Arabidopsis thaliana: one gene and its partners. The protein of the gene in region 3 interacts with the protein of the main gene of each other region in a pairwise test. Each region holds a gene or a part of one and is shown on either strand. Other genes may lie near its edges. The genes, in order: UBC18, GLB3 and RGLG4.

The links.
Region 1: the proteins of RGLG4 (region 3) and UBC18 interact in a two-hybrid assay, tested with the Arabidopsis thaliana proteins (one study listed by BioGRID).
Region 2: the proteins of RGLG4 (region 3) and GLB3 interact in a two-hybrid assay, tested with the Arabidopsis thaliana proteins (one study listed by BioGRID).

What each region holds. Positions count from the first base shown.
Region 1 is NC_003076.8:17,243,414-17,247,934, forward strand, and holds UBC18 (ubiquitin-conjugating enzyme 18), read right to left. Parts: upstream 2,576-4,521; 5' UTR 2,492-2,575; coding exon 2,462-2,491; intron 2,378-2,461; coding exon 2,274-2,377; intron 2,187-2,273; coding exon 2,084-2,186; intron 1,864-2,083; coding exon 1,800-1,863; intron 1,083-1,799; coding exon 994-1,082; intron 889-993; coding exon 793-888; 3' UTR 574-792; downstream 1-573. Other genes in the region: TRX3 (thioredoxin 3), read left to right, coding at 1-60, 159-305; AT5G43000 (uncharacterized protein), read right to left, coding at 2,941-3,789. UniProt on the Arabidopsis thaliana protein: Accepts the ubiquitin from the E1 complex and catalyzes its covalent attachment to other proteins.
Region 2 is NC_003075.7:15,763,264-15,767,614, reverse strand, and holds GLB3 (hemoglobin 3), read right to left. Parts: upstream 2,504-4,351; 5' UTR 2,130-2,503; coding exon 1,993-2,129; intron 1,640-1,992; coding exon 1,509-1,639; intron 1,151-1,508; coding exon 1,006-1,150; intron 868-1,005; coding exon 753-867; 3' UTR 509-752; downstream 1-508. Other genes in the region: AT4G32700 (MUS308 and mammalian DNA polymerase-like protein), read right to left, coding at 140-175; AT4G32680 (uncharacterized protein), read left to right, coding at 2,576-2,786, 3,516-4,153. UniProt on the Arabidopsis thaliana protein: Hemoglobin-like protein that exhibits an unusual concentration-independent binding of O(2) and CO. May promote shoot organogenesis from root explants in vitro. Inhibits RGLG3 and RGLG4 ubiquitination activity.
Region 3 is NC_003070.9:29,858,682-29,863,958, reverse strand, and holds RGLG4 (Ca(2)-dependent phospholipid-binding protein (Copine) family), read right to left. Parts: upstream 3,469-5,277; 5' UTR 3,148-3,468; coding exon 2,953-3,147; intron 2,706-2,952; coding exon 2,621-2,705; intron 2,534-2,620; coding exon 2,393-2,533; intron 2,316-2,392; coding exon 2,202-2,315; intron 2,130-2,201; coding exon 2,032-2,129; intron 1,960-2,031; coding exon 1,880-1,959; intron 1,789-1,879; coding exon 1,683-1,788; intron 1,604-1,682; coding exon 1,476-1,603; intron 1,363-1,475; coding exon 1,245-1,362; intron 1,167-1,244; coding exon 1,110-1,166; intron 1,020-1,109; coding exon 936-1,019; 3' UTR 643-935; downstream 1-642. Other genes in the region: AT1G79390 (centrosomal protein), read left to right, coding at 315-494; CYP79C1 (cytochrome P450, family 79, subfamily C, polypeptide 1), read right to left, coding at 3,796-4,166, 4,422-4,695, 4,787-5,277. UniProt on the Arabidopsis thaliana protein: Possesses E3 ubiquitin-protein ligase in vitro.

The DNA of each region.
Region 1 (4,521 bases), on a different chromosome or scaffold from region 3:
GACTTAGCCAAGAAGCACCTCGACGTAGTCTTCTTCAAGGTCGATGTTGACGAATTGAACGTGAGTTTCCTTCATCAATCTTACACTATCCCAATATCCAAACTTAGGGATTTTTGACTTCTCTGAGCCTTTATCTTGCTTGTTATGTTGTTGTGCAGACTGTTGCTGAGGAGTTTAAAGTTCAGGCAATGCCAACGTTTATCTTCATGAAAGAAGGAGAGATCAAGGAGACTGTGGTTGGTGCTGCTAAAGAAGAAATCATTGCCAATCTCGAGAAGCACAAGACAGTTGTTGCTGCTGCTTGATTTGCTTTTCTCTCTTACCTATTTTGCTAAAATATGTTTGGTGTTTTAATAAATCCTTTGTTCGCCCGAGTCTTTTCACCTTAAATGTGCTCTTATGTGTGGTGGTGAATAAATGTTGTTGCAAACTTGATTACTCGCAGCTATGCTAATTGTTCGTTCATGGTTATGTTTACTCTTTGGGGATTCTATTGTTATGTTAGTTTTTCAATTTTCAATTACATTACACCAACTAGTTATCAATCCAATTACATTGCCAAATACAATTTCGTTTTGCCTAAACTCTCCATGGTTTTTCACTTCAGAAAGGACAAAAGCACAAGGTGTTAATTCAGACACTGAAACATTTCAGATGTCATTTATACATAATGATCCGTTACAGAAAAAAAAGTGGGAGGCCATGAGGAATTTCAATTAGTATTATCAGTCTTGGGAAATTATATAAACCTCTTTTGTAACTGAAAGGAGAGACATCTTACGGTCGTCATCATTAAACCTTGTCGTCATGGAACCACCACCTTGTCTCTTTAGGAGACCTCCCGTTCTTGCAGTTCTTCACATATCGATCGTTATCAGTCGGGCGTTGCTGATATTGTCATCGACAATAAGACATAGTAAGAGTTGTGTGGCAGGGTCAAAAAGTTTGAATTTGTGACAACAATACAAAGTGTGAGAGATCAAATGTAGAAACCTTTTCGGGGGAACTTGATAGCATTGAGAGGATGCTGATGCAGACTGAACTCACTGTCATTGCTGGAGACCATGAGTCATACAGAATATCTACAAAAAGGAATTAGAGAGTGTGTTATATTAAGCGCATAATCCTAATGGACTTTCTCCTAAAATGAGGCCGGGTATAATCGTGATTATGTATTGTAACAAATGGTTCAGTTCCACCACGATTTCATTAGACCGGATTTAGATGCATTGAGAACAGATTTAAGAAATTTACATAAAACTTTCATGTTCTTATTGTTTAGTGAAAACAGCAAAACTAAAATGTGTTATTTGATTTTAACTCAAATGGGAGTTTCAAGTTATTTGATCAACATTCCAAAGGGAGTTTCAATATAACTAGAAATTGAGAGGCTGTTATAATCATGGATCAGATTCTGATTTTGCTAAAGAATTCACCATAGAGTCCAAAAGGGACGGTATTGGTTTTCTTTATGGCGTTGATAACACATTCACACCTAATTTCATGTCATGCGACGCTAGTATTAGGAACTCTTTAAGAATGAGACAGACTGAGAAAAAGGTTAAGACTGGTAACAATGTTGATATAATATATTAGGACTCTTAAGGGTATTGTTACTAACATTGCTTCTCTTTTCGCTACATTACATTCCGTGAACAAGAACAACCTATATATGTAAGTATCAAACAGATAAACTAATTTGATTGACACACACATGACTTGAGCTAGCATTTCAGAGAAACCAAAAAGTAAGAGCAAATGCAAAGAGTAAGTAGTGTAGAAACAATGAGTAAAATTACCTAAACAAATATGTCCATTGCTGTAAATATGAGGATGTAACGGTGCTGGTGGAACAAAAATCACCTGATCAAAAACCAAACACATGAAAATCAGAACACAGCACAAAACCAAGTAGAGAAAATGTCACTATATCTCAAACTAATTCTCTGACCTAAAACATGCAATACAACCATAAAAACACTCTGGTTTCAGTTAATTAATCCACAATTAAGAAATTTGAAATAAACCCTTAATCAAAAACAACAAATTTTTCAGAACAAAACCAACACAATGAAAAACTTGCCTGAGGAGCTTCCATAGGATAATGTTGAGGAAACTCAACCTGAAGATTATAAGTTTCATTAGCGTAAAGCGTACCAGGTGCTCCTGTTACCTCAATTACCCATCTTTAAATCACACAAAAACAAAAAAAACAATCAAAAATCGAAATGATAAATAATCAAAAAAAGGAAAGATTTTGAAATGAAAATTACTTTTGAAGATTATCAGTAACTCTGTGCTTAAACCCAGTCGGTGGATTTACTTGCCACTCTGATAACTCCTTTTGTAACCTATTACACGCGATCTTGCTTAACGCCTACACAAATCTCAAAAATTCAAAAAATCACAATCGGAGAATCAAAAAACACATAAGAAGACAAGAGTGAGAGAATCTAAGAACCTTGCGTGAAGGAGATGAAGAGCTTGTCATGGCGGAGACAAAGAGAGAGAGAGAGAGAGACGAAGACAGAGAGGTCTTGCTTAAGCTTTTGTCTGGATCTTTCTTCTTCTACTCGAATATTATTATTATTGAAAATGAAATCAAAAAGTGTAAACAAAAGGAAATAAAAATATTTTTCGGGGTGAGGAAAGGGCACACGTGAAAGAGTCAAAATTACAAAATTAACCATTTTCATCGGACGGCTATTAATCTTCCTTCGTGTTCACACGTGTCGTTTATCCTTCACTGACTCCACGGGACATTGAAGAGTCGATTTTATTTATAGATTTTTTTTTGTAACAAAGATTCTCTTACATTGTAGCTACCAAAGTCGTACGATCATAAGTACATAAGTTTTTAAGACAAAGTACATTACATTAAACATACGTCTCCATCTATATAATGTTTCAGCTTTCATTCTATAGTAGGCTTCTAATAGTTTATGGGTCATCATTTGGCCCAACATGAATAGCCACTTCTTGCTCTAGCTCAATACCATCTAGTGGGTCTTGAAGAGGCTCAACGTGAACTACCGTTTCTTGTTGTAGGTCAATACCATCTAATGGACATTGATGAGGTGCAATAATACAATCTTGTGACTCTTGATCTAGCACAATATCATCTTGAAGGTTTTGGTCTTTTCCATCTGATGGGTCATTAAGAGCCCCGATACAGTTTTGTGACTCTTGGTCCGGTCCAAGAACCCGATTGGTTTCTTGTGGGACGAGTTCTTGCTCTAGCTCAATACCATCTAGTGGCTCTTGAAGAGGCTCAACATGAACAACCATTCCTTGTTCAAGCTCAATACCATTTAATGGACCATTAAGAGGCTCAATAGAATTTCCAGACTCTTGATCCGGTCCAAGAACTCGATAGGCTTCTTGTGGGACGAGTTCGAGTCCGGCTGCGAAAAGCGGGAGCAAGACTAGATAATGTTTATGAGAAACGTAAGAGATCGTGGAACCGATGACGTGGACAATGCATAACATCAAAAGATATGCGTTTAATGTGTGCCAATAGAGGCTCCCATCGTTTGTGTAAAGCCAAAACACTCGGCCGCATCTTTGTATTTTCACTTCTTCCTCGATCAAACTTTGGATAAGATCGAGCAAAGTGAAGATTAATGTGTCGCAAGCACATACGATACCGAATATTTTGGCTAGATCTTTCTCCTTGTCGAGTAATTCTAAGACGAAGCAAAGAAACTCAACGAGGAATGCAATAGCAGAATGTGGTCGTAGACTTTGCCTAAAAACAACGAGTTTAATGACGGGAGTTAGGATCGCCATTTTCAAAATTATTACTATGTGATTAGAAAGCTCAAAATATACTATGGTATGAGGAGCTTTGAGTGAAGAACTTCGTACGGGGTGCTTTTTATAAAGACATGAAGTGGTTATTAATGAATGATTAGGGAGACAAAAGTCAAAAGTTAAGCTTGGAAAATTCCGTGCTAATCATAAAGATCTTCACTTTTCATTGCATAGGGAATCAAATAAACGTTTTAATATTTTTATGTTTGAGATCATTGCAAGTAAACTCTAGAGTAATAGATCAACTCTCTAATCATTTTAAGTGTATGATACAACGAATCCTAGCTGTTTGATGATTTACGACGTTCATGATTTCGGCATGTTAATTTTCTTTTTGAAAAAGTTGTCCTAGCTAATTTAATCCTAATCTTATTTTTATTTTTTTACGGTAATTCTATTCTTATTGCGCTAGAAAAAAATCGAAAATATCATTACTTAATTAATTTTATGTTTTTATAATAAAGGTACATCATGAGTGAGACAATTTTTTTTCCTAAAGTTAGTATATATAAAAGTTTGCAAATTGTTTTTATTTATAAAATATTTATATTTTATAGTTTACAATTGTTATTAAGTAAGATACCGTCAAACACGTCCCACTCAAAAATTATTTTATTAATGTTGATCTTATTTATGATATGATTTTGAATCATCCCCTAAACATGTTAGCTTTTTTTTTTCTTTTTCTTGTCATCAGATTTAAACATT
Region 2 (4,351 bases), on a different chromosome or scaffold from region 3:
TGAGAAACTTGAAGTTGTTGCAGCAAGCACGAATTTTCACACAGAGAAAGAGGAGAAAGAGATGAAGAAGAACACAAACATTCGTCCGAAGTTCGTGGAGACAAATTAAGCAAAGAGAAAAAGAAAGAGAGAAACTGACCTGATCAATCCGCGATTTAGAAGAATCTGAGTCCATGAGCGGCGGAAATAGAGTAACCGCCGGAGATCTGAAGAAAAACCCTAGTCGGCGATTGCAACGCCGGGGAAGTGAGGAGCGCCCAAATGCAGGCAGATGTAGAAAGAAACAGAAAGAATCTGTAGCGTTTGAATTTTTGATTTCCCTTCTATACACAGAGCTCTCTCTATCTGTGACCGCGTATTATTGTATTCTTTTTTTTTTTTCTTTAAAATTTCAATTTTCTCGTTTTGACGCTCAGATTTTCAATTTGAACCGTAAAGGTGCTTTTGCTTTTGGGTTGCCGTTGGGCATTTTAACGCTTTTATTAGAAGAGTACAGTACTTGTTTTCTAATCAGGTGAAGTGTTGTAAATAATGTTTAGAATTGTTCATATTCTTAAAAGTTATACTTGTAATGTTACATATTTTGTGTCAGACCATCTAATGAAAAAGTGCTATTGCAAATTTGCAGTGAGAGCCAAGAGTAGACCAGTTCTATTTCTCTTACATAGCTTTCCAGGAAAGACCAATATTCCGTAGAATCTTTTGTGTACTTTGAATGGAAACTTAAAGTAGAACAAGAATCTGTAGTTAAATTATTCTTCTGCTGGTTTATTGGCTGCGTGTTTACAAGCACATTGAGGCTTATGCTTCGGTTTCTCATTCTGATTCTTCAGCTCGTTTCCAGCCACAAGGAAAAATGCGGTGTGTCTGAAACAGATCAAAAGTAGCCAATCAAATCTGTTTGCTAATATCTACAGAATTCTAAGGTTTTAAGCTGAATAAAACACCCGATCAAACTTTCATCGAACTATGTGACTTTTGACTCTGAGAAGAAGATGGTGTTACCTAAAGAACTTCATCATTTTGATTTTTGAGTCCTGGTCAATGTCAACCGAATCGTCCAGAGCATTTTGCATGTGCTCTAGCCATCTCTCAGCAGCTTGATGGGTCACTGGAAATGGACGGTGACGTCCGATCAAAGCAGGATGACCTACACATTGGTAAGATAAACAAACAGCCACAAGTTAAGCAAAGAGATTTTGGAGATGCCAAGTCATATTTAGTCAAAACCAACTCAAAATTGGTGTGATATCAAATATGTACATTAATGTCATTTGTAATACAATCATACAGATACAAGTGTGTGTACTAAGTGAGCATCGAAGGGGTAAAAACAAATGAGTTAGTTGATGTGCAATTTTTTAGTCAAGCATGAAAAACCTAGAGAACCAATCACAGACAACAACTTATGAACACATATATAACTAAGGGATCGCAGCAAACAGCATATGAATGTTAAAACACATAACTAAGGGAAAAGAATCTAAATTTAAGATAAAAAGGCAAACCTTTTCTCTGAGAATACAAAGGAGGGCCTCCCATACGCTGGACAAAGAACTCATACTGGTTTTGGATGGCATCTTCTTTGTTAGAGTTAGAAAATATTGATTGAAACCATTCTTCTTCGTCATCATATACCCTAATACCCATTTCAAAAACAAGAAATTCATTAAGAACACAATGTCCATAAGTAGAAGCATTACCCAAAATCTTAAAACTTGTCTAGGTAAGAAGGACTTAAGAGACTTGTCAAATCAGAAACTAGTATATCTTATAACACTTTCATATCTGCAATTCCAAGCCATTATCATAGGAAAAGTTATCTCAATTCCTCATTTGAACAAGCAGAGAGACTGGAATTGATTCTTCATCAATATTAAAGGTTCACACTTTCAACCAAAATCTCCTAGTCTACACCAGATTTTAATCGAAAAATGGAGCTTAGCAAGTGAGAGCTATAATATAACCCAGACTCCAGAGCGAACACAATACCTGGTATAGAAATTGGTGGATAGGTTGATGAATGTCTGAAGACCAAGCTTGTCGAACAGATTGGACTCGTCGATGGCGAACGCCTCAGCCTGATCGACGCCGCTTAACACCGATGCCTTATCTTGCAGCGATTGCATCTCCCTCTCTCTCTCTCTCTCTCTGGTTTTCGTCTCTCTCGCAGTGATGAAGAAACTGTGGGTGATTGAATTGAATTTTAAAAAGGAATGGTGGGGGCTCTGGTCGTGGTCGCGTGGAGGCAACGCTCTCTTTTTTCTATTACACTAGTTGGGCCTTTTTGGCATATGCCGTGACCAAAACTAAAGACACTTGTCTTGATGATTCTCTTTGACTTTTGGTCCTATCCAATCAATTTAGGATTTTGAAGTAATTGGGCACACTTGAATTGGCCCGTTAAGAAGCCCATTATTCTAAACGCGACAAACTCTTTAGTGACGACGATTTGCGTTTGAAGAAATAAGTGATTTAAAATCCGCGTTTAAAAAGGACTAAGCTGAGCTGACCCCGTCGAGAATTGGTTTCCTCTTTTCCTCGCTCCGAAGACAAGAAATATTCCGGTGAGGCAATGGCGTCGAACAGCAGAGAAGCCAGGAGGCGGAAGATCCTAGATAGAGGATCTGATCGTTTAGCCTTTATCACTGGTCAGATCAACGGCGTTCCTTCTCCACCTCCTTCCGATTCTACTTCTTCCCTTTCCCAGTCTGACCTTCAAACTGACCAATCCTTACCGGATACGATTCCCCCTCGCGATCAGATTCTTAAAGCTCAAGAAATCGGTACTCTTTCGCTCTCTCTTTCTCTAGGGAATATTGTCATCCTTGGATTGTTTGTGTGTGTAAGAATTTGAGCGACACAATCGAATTTTACTTACTCTATTGGGTGAAAGGATAATCAAATTGGCTTCTTTGATCAGATTTTATGTGTGTTTGGCTCGTTTCAGAGTGGAATTCATGTGTGTTAAGAACCCGGCTTGAACCATTGGATGTTTGAAATAGGGCAAATTTGTAGAGAAGAATAGGACAACGCATTATCTACATTTTTATCTTTTAGTTTATTTTGTCCTCTGAGTATAGTAGTTAATGGGCAGTGAAGCTGTTAAATCCAGATTTCAACTTGGAACCTACTTGTCTTAAGCTGAAATTAGATATTATGAACCTGATTTCACTGTTCTCTACTTTTGCTTAAGTCACCTCGCCCCTTGAAATTTTCTTTGCCATTCTGTGAAATTCTTTATAGGTGTGGTTCAACCACAGTCAAGTGTTTGGAAAGCTTATTATGTTGTGTGTTTTTGAAATTTGCTTGCCTTGTATTGTGTCACAAAGTTTGGAAGGAAAAGATTGCTACGCTGCTTGATTGGAGCCAATAAATCTTAAGGCGTTGTATATATTCACAATCAGTGGGTTCTTAGTGGTGGTGGAAAAACCCATTGATTGTGAATGTTCTTTTTGGCGTTTCTTGAAGCTAACCTTTGCTGATTTTGATGATCCTTGGTTGTGAAATTGCAGCTTTCACAAGTCACCAGGACAACATCTCTGATGCTGCAATGCTTGAGAATGTGGATCATATCATCCATCAAAGCAGGGAAGAACCTCTTCAGCCTCAGAGGCATGCTGAAACATTGGCAGAAGCCTCTGCTTCAGATCCTAGAGACACAACAACAATACAACCGCCTCCTACAACATCAAGTGTTCAAAACCCATCAGTGGTAGATTTAGGTGCTTCTCAAGCATTTATTCCTGTGGTTAGTTTTGTGAACGCCATCACACCAAAGCACATTGGAGCGGCCATTGATGCTTCGGAATACGCACGGATGTTCACAGCTCTTGCGATTGCACTTGTTGTCATACTATCTCATCTCGGTTTCTCTTCCCTAGGCAACATTGTAAGCTTCAGGCCAGTTTTCTTGCTTGTCTTGACTGATGCCACAATTGTGCTTGGACGTGTTCTGCTGAGTCATCGTGGAGACTCTTCCTCGGCCTCAGGGACGGTGATGAGCGGGCAGGGTATTGTGGACCAAGTAGGCAACGCTTTGGAGACGGTGATGATGGTGAAGAAGATAATGGATGCACTTCTTATGGATTTTAGCTTATACGCTGTGATTCTCATATGTGGCCTCTTGGTCACCCAAAGCATCTTTCCTTAGGTCACCTTTTAAATTAGGTTTCTTTGTGCTCGGTAGATTTGTGTTTTGCTTATGGTTTGAATATCTTAAAATTATAGTTAGTTCCAAAACATAATTACATGTTTCAGATATCTTTCTCTTTCCTTTTCTTTTGCGTGAGAAGATCAATATTTATTGGTGTTTGGTAGTTTGGAAGAATAAATTTAAAGGTTCTCCTCC
Region 3 (5,277 bases):
TGAGTAGAACTTTGCTTGATGATGATTCTTTCTGCTACTTTGCAAAGCTCCTATGGGATTGGGTACCTAGAGGTTAGAGGTGTTTAGGCCTCGATATGTTGAATTGAGCATTTGCATTTTCTTGTTGCTAATACACCAATCCATTGTTCTGTGTTAACAAGGAATTTCATGTATCTGAGTTCTTGCTCTGCTTCACAATGTCGATTCAATTGGAAGTTTATTGATCACAGCCGTATGTTAACCTTAGGCTTATTGTTAATCTTCAATCTTTTTGTGTTATGATGAACAATACATTTCTGTTTTTGTATTGTTAGATGATGGGTAAAGTAAACCAAGAGAGGCTAGCTGAATATCTTGGTGAGTTGAAACAGAAGCAGGATACAAACGACAGATACGTTGCTGCTCTTAGGGGAGAGACTCTTACCAGGAAGCCTTATCAAAGAATCCAACCAATGCCAAAGCCAGATGACACGGTGACAACCAAAACTCAGTAAGGATGAATTATTTTAAGAGTCAATGTTAGTGAATGCCTCTCACTCGAATCTTTTGTCGATACAAAAATGGCGTGTTTCCTGGCCGTAATATCTTTTGTTTTTGAAACCGGCATCTAGCGACACAACTTTTGTGCTATGCAAACGGCTACAATGTCAATCACTTCAAACCTTTTGTTATGATGAATAAAATGTAAAACTTATGTTTTGTAATTTGTACATTGCTTCTTCATTCTTGTTTGCAAAGTTAATGTTTTACAGTACATACAGAATTACATGGTACACGCTGATTGTGGAACATTGTCAGAAACACTTGGCAAACCAAATTGTAGATTCTACAAAGGAGATGGCTATGTGCAAGCGATTTGTTATGTGCAGAGATAAAGTTTGTTGGCATTGATCACGTGTAAAGCCGTGGTCAGAAAAAAAGTTCGTGGCCATTGATCATGTGTAAAGCTTTAGCCGGTTCGTGATCCTTACTCGACAGATCGGGCAATTTGATATTTTGGATCCGCAATCTCCACAAGTCTGCAAAAGGAAAATTGCAAAGGTAAGTTAAAACTGGTTGTTGATTAATGAATGGGTTTGAGTAAACTAAAAGCAATCGGTGAAACTTACCATGTGGCCACAGCTGAAAGCCACGTCTTTTCGGTTAGTCAGACAAATCGGGCAACTCTGTTAAACGGAAAACCATATGAGATTGGAGTTGATTCGACAAGGCAGAAAAATAGTAAAGTATACAAATTATGAGACCTGGGTTTGTTCAGGTGATGCAGGTGATGCAGTTGATGGTAGTTCAGCATTAGTTGGAGGTGTGTACGGAATTGGTGGTGGCCTCGGAACTATTGTCTTCGCTAAGCCCGTCTGCTTCCTTTATAGACGGGTGCAGAAGTGGACAGGGACCAGCAGAAGCAATTAGACAAAAAAAAAAAAAATAGAGCAGAAAGACGGTAGTTCTGTTATGCTGAGAACTTATGGAAGTACCCGAGTAAGCGGAGTTCGATGGCTGCTTGATACTGAAAGGGAATCTCCATTAGAGCAGCTAGAGCAAAAGCAGTTTCTTTGGCAGACTCTGGTGAGTTTCTCGTCATAATCTCTGTGAAATTCACAAACTATGCATAGACCAGAGATCAAGAAGATGCTCAAAGCAGAGAATATAGATGGAAAATAGCACAGAAACTGGGAAGATACCTGAAAGTTGTCGAATTCACGCTTAGGGATCTTATCATCGAACTTCCTCATGTCTTCCCATGGTCCGTCTCCAACACCGACTAAAACAATCGACAAAGCATACGAGCTGTAGATAATAAAGGAATTTCGAAAAAGGCTTGTTTAGATACCGCAAATCGAGTTGCGAAAAATGAAAAACTGAATCTGCATTTTTTTACCTTGCATTTACAATCGCGTCGATGGTTGTTTTCTCTTGTTGACTGAGTTCTCCCTCGGCCATATCCGTACCTCTCGTTACCTTAACATTCAAAAGGTAGCCTTTTAAGTTTTGGTATCATACTTTGTTTCTCTTAACTGCTTGTAACTTTACCTGTCCATCTGCAACAATCACCAGAACATGGAATTGTCCGTTGTTCTTCTCCACAATGTCGACAGCAGCATCGATGAGCGGTCCATACGACGTTGGCCCTTTTGAACACGGAAGGTTGTGATTTGGTGATAAAGCTATGGAAGGTAGTATTTAGATTTTCAAAGAAAGACCTGATAGACGCAAGTTGGGTGCAATTCTCTTGTAACATGCTAAGACCTCTTCGAAGCCATGACATGGAGAATTGTCGCTATGGAAACCGAACACTTCCTCGTCATGAGTTGTTGCTGGATAGTGCAAGAAAACAGAGTCTTAGAAACAGAGAGTGAACTGAAGATGATATTTTTGGGAAAGAAAAACTTACAATCGCCAAAGCCGAAACAAGGGATGAGATTGTCTTCATCAAAAGGAGCCAACGTTTGGCCGATTACAAAAATCGCCTTTTCATATGGATTCGAAGTTTCGCCGAGCGCGTGCAGACATTTTCCATCGAAAGAAGTTTTCCCTGAAACAGAACGTTAACCACTTTTTTGTTTACAGTTGCAAAAATATATATGTGAATTTAACAATAAGTTGTATTTGCTGAAGGTACCAGTCCACTCGTTGCTCTTTGTGAAATCAACTCCGAGAATGAGATTGGATGATTCAAGACCAGCTTCTCTTAGAGCTTTTGATACCTTTTAAACACCATTCACTAGTTAACACTCAGTAACAACTCTCCATCTCTAATTAGTTTCCAGACAATTTTTTTACTCAAAATCATTTTATGTCCCAATGTCAACGAATGAATGGAGGAGAAAAAAAATAATCATATACATCTATTAGACTTTTGAAGAACTCAAAGAACATGGAAGTAGCAGAAGACATGGTGAACCAAAAGTCAAGTCAACACAAGAAATTGAGAGATACAAAAAAGAAGAGAACCTGGTCGAGGGAAGAGAAGCGGTCAGGGATGAGAGCGTACTTCTTCTTGGTGGCGTTGGTATTATCGGCAAGGGAGAGTGAAGGATCCGACGGTGATGGTTCATGAGATTGAGACGACGTCGTTCCCAGAGTCATATTTCTACTGCTTCTGCTTTTTCCACTTCCAAATCTCTTTAAGAAATTCCCCATAGTCATCTCCTTTCTTCTTCTTCTTCTTCTTCGAATTGGAATTCAGATTTTTTTTCTTCTCTTGATAATGGATAGAATCTTTTTTTTTTTGGGCTGGAATATTTAAGAAGACTACTCTTCAAGACGCCAAGGAAACATTTATTGCTTCACTGTTCTTTATAATTTTATTAATTTCATTCTACGCGGCAACAATCATTACTTTTCTATGTCAACCACTAATTGTTGTTATCTAAGTATTTTTGACGCGGCCAGATGGGGACTTAAACATTTATTTACTGAACCCACATGAGTTCGAACGAAAACCTAGAAAAAAATTAAACTATATATTATACACTGAAGATCTTATGAGATTTGATATAAATATAGGATCATTAATGCTAAAAGAATGACTTTGTGAACAAGATGGAATTAGATACTCTTCTTATGTGCTAATCTCAACTTGCAAGTTAATTTCTCCATTTTTGCACTCAACCCGTTTCTTTACTTGAAGCTTACTTTGCTCAAATTAAAACGGCAGAACAATACTGGGCTGGGCCTTTTATGAACGTTATGGGCTATATTCCTCTTCAACTTTTCCTCAAGACAAAAACTTTATTCAAATTTTACTCATACATGACAATAGCAATTGAAATGTGGTGCCGTTAACCGGTATGATCAAGCTGGACCGGTCCAGAGTTTCGGGTACATGTTTGGATCTAATCTGGGCTTCACACAAGCCATCAAAGGATTAGCCATGAACAGATTTTCTTTTGACTCGACTAGCTCGACTCTGTCCGTCGTACCAGGAGGAATGGTCCAGTCGAACCCTTGGAGAAGCCTACCCAACAACGTAACAATCATGGACGTTCCAAGCTTAGCTCCAACGCAGCCGCGTCTACCAGTTCCAAATGAAACAAGTCGTAAGTCTGGTTCAGTCAACACCACTTCGTTGCCGGTTATATGGCGCTCAGGCCTGTAGATGAGTGGCTCATCCCATGTCTTAGGGTTTCGACCAACACCCGGACGACTCACTAGAATATGACTGCCTGTGATCCACATCAAACAATCAATATATTAAAGTTAATAAACAAATAAAATAATAATTTGAAAGATTCGTATGTCACAATCTACTTATTTTCACTTTTCAGTCCAAAATAATAAATCAAAGGAACAAATATTCTAATATGAAAATATTGCTCAAATCAAGCAAAAATAAATATAGTTAGAATTCCTGATTCTACATTTAAGGAGTTGGAGTCAAATACGCCTAAATGCATAAATTTTGGGGAAAAATGAGATACCTTTTGGGATGAAATAGCCAGCGAGAGTTGTGTCATGACGTGCCATGTGAGGGACAAGGAAAGGATTGGTAGGGTGAAGTCTCAGGGTCTCTCTGCAACAAGCTTTGACGTAGTTTAGATTTGGTACGTCGGATTCTTGAACAAGTCTTTCTTTTCCGACAACCATATCGATCTCTTCCACCGCTTTTTCTAGAATCTCTCTCTGGTTCAACATTTCCGCAAGTGTCCACTCTATTACATTCACTGCATTATCAATCCCTACTACATCAAGATCCTGCCAAAACCAAAAAGAAACCATAACTTATCAGATATATAATATACAAACTAATTGGTAGTAATTATATGAGTATATTTCTATCACGAACCACAGAGAGATGTGTGATTTCTTGCGGGGTAAGCAACGGCTTCCCATTCTCATCTTTAAGAGTGAAGAGAATGTCGAGCCAATCCTTGATCATAGGAACATCATTCTTCGTCTCCGCACGATTGTAGTCTTTATTCTGCCCCCTCCACAACTCTATCTTCTCATCGATAATCATCTTATTGTACCTAGCAATCACATCAACGGCTTCTCTTAACTCAGCCTCCTCTCCCTGGAGGTTCCATCCTCTTAAGAAAGGGTAGTAATCGGCTACGTAAAAGCTAAAGAAACAATCAAGAGCCGCGAAAATTGCGTCAAAATGTTCTTTCTCCATAAGTCCGAGACTCCCGTCCATCGTCGTCTCCTTGAAATGTCTCCGACCAAACAAGAGTCTCATCTTCACATTGTGTGTGTGAGTGCACACAATATCTCTCACGTTCACTACGGCGCCGTGTTTTGTCTTGGACTCATCTTTGTTGTATAGGTTATGAACAT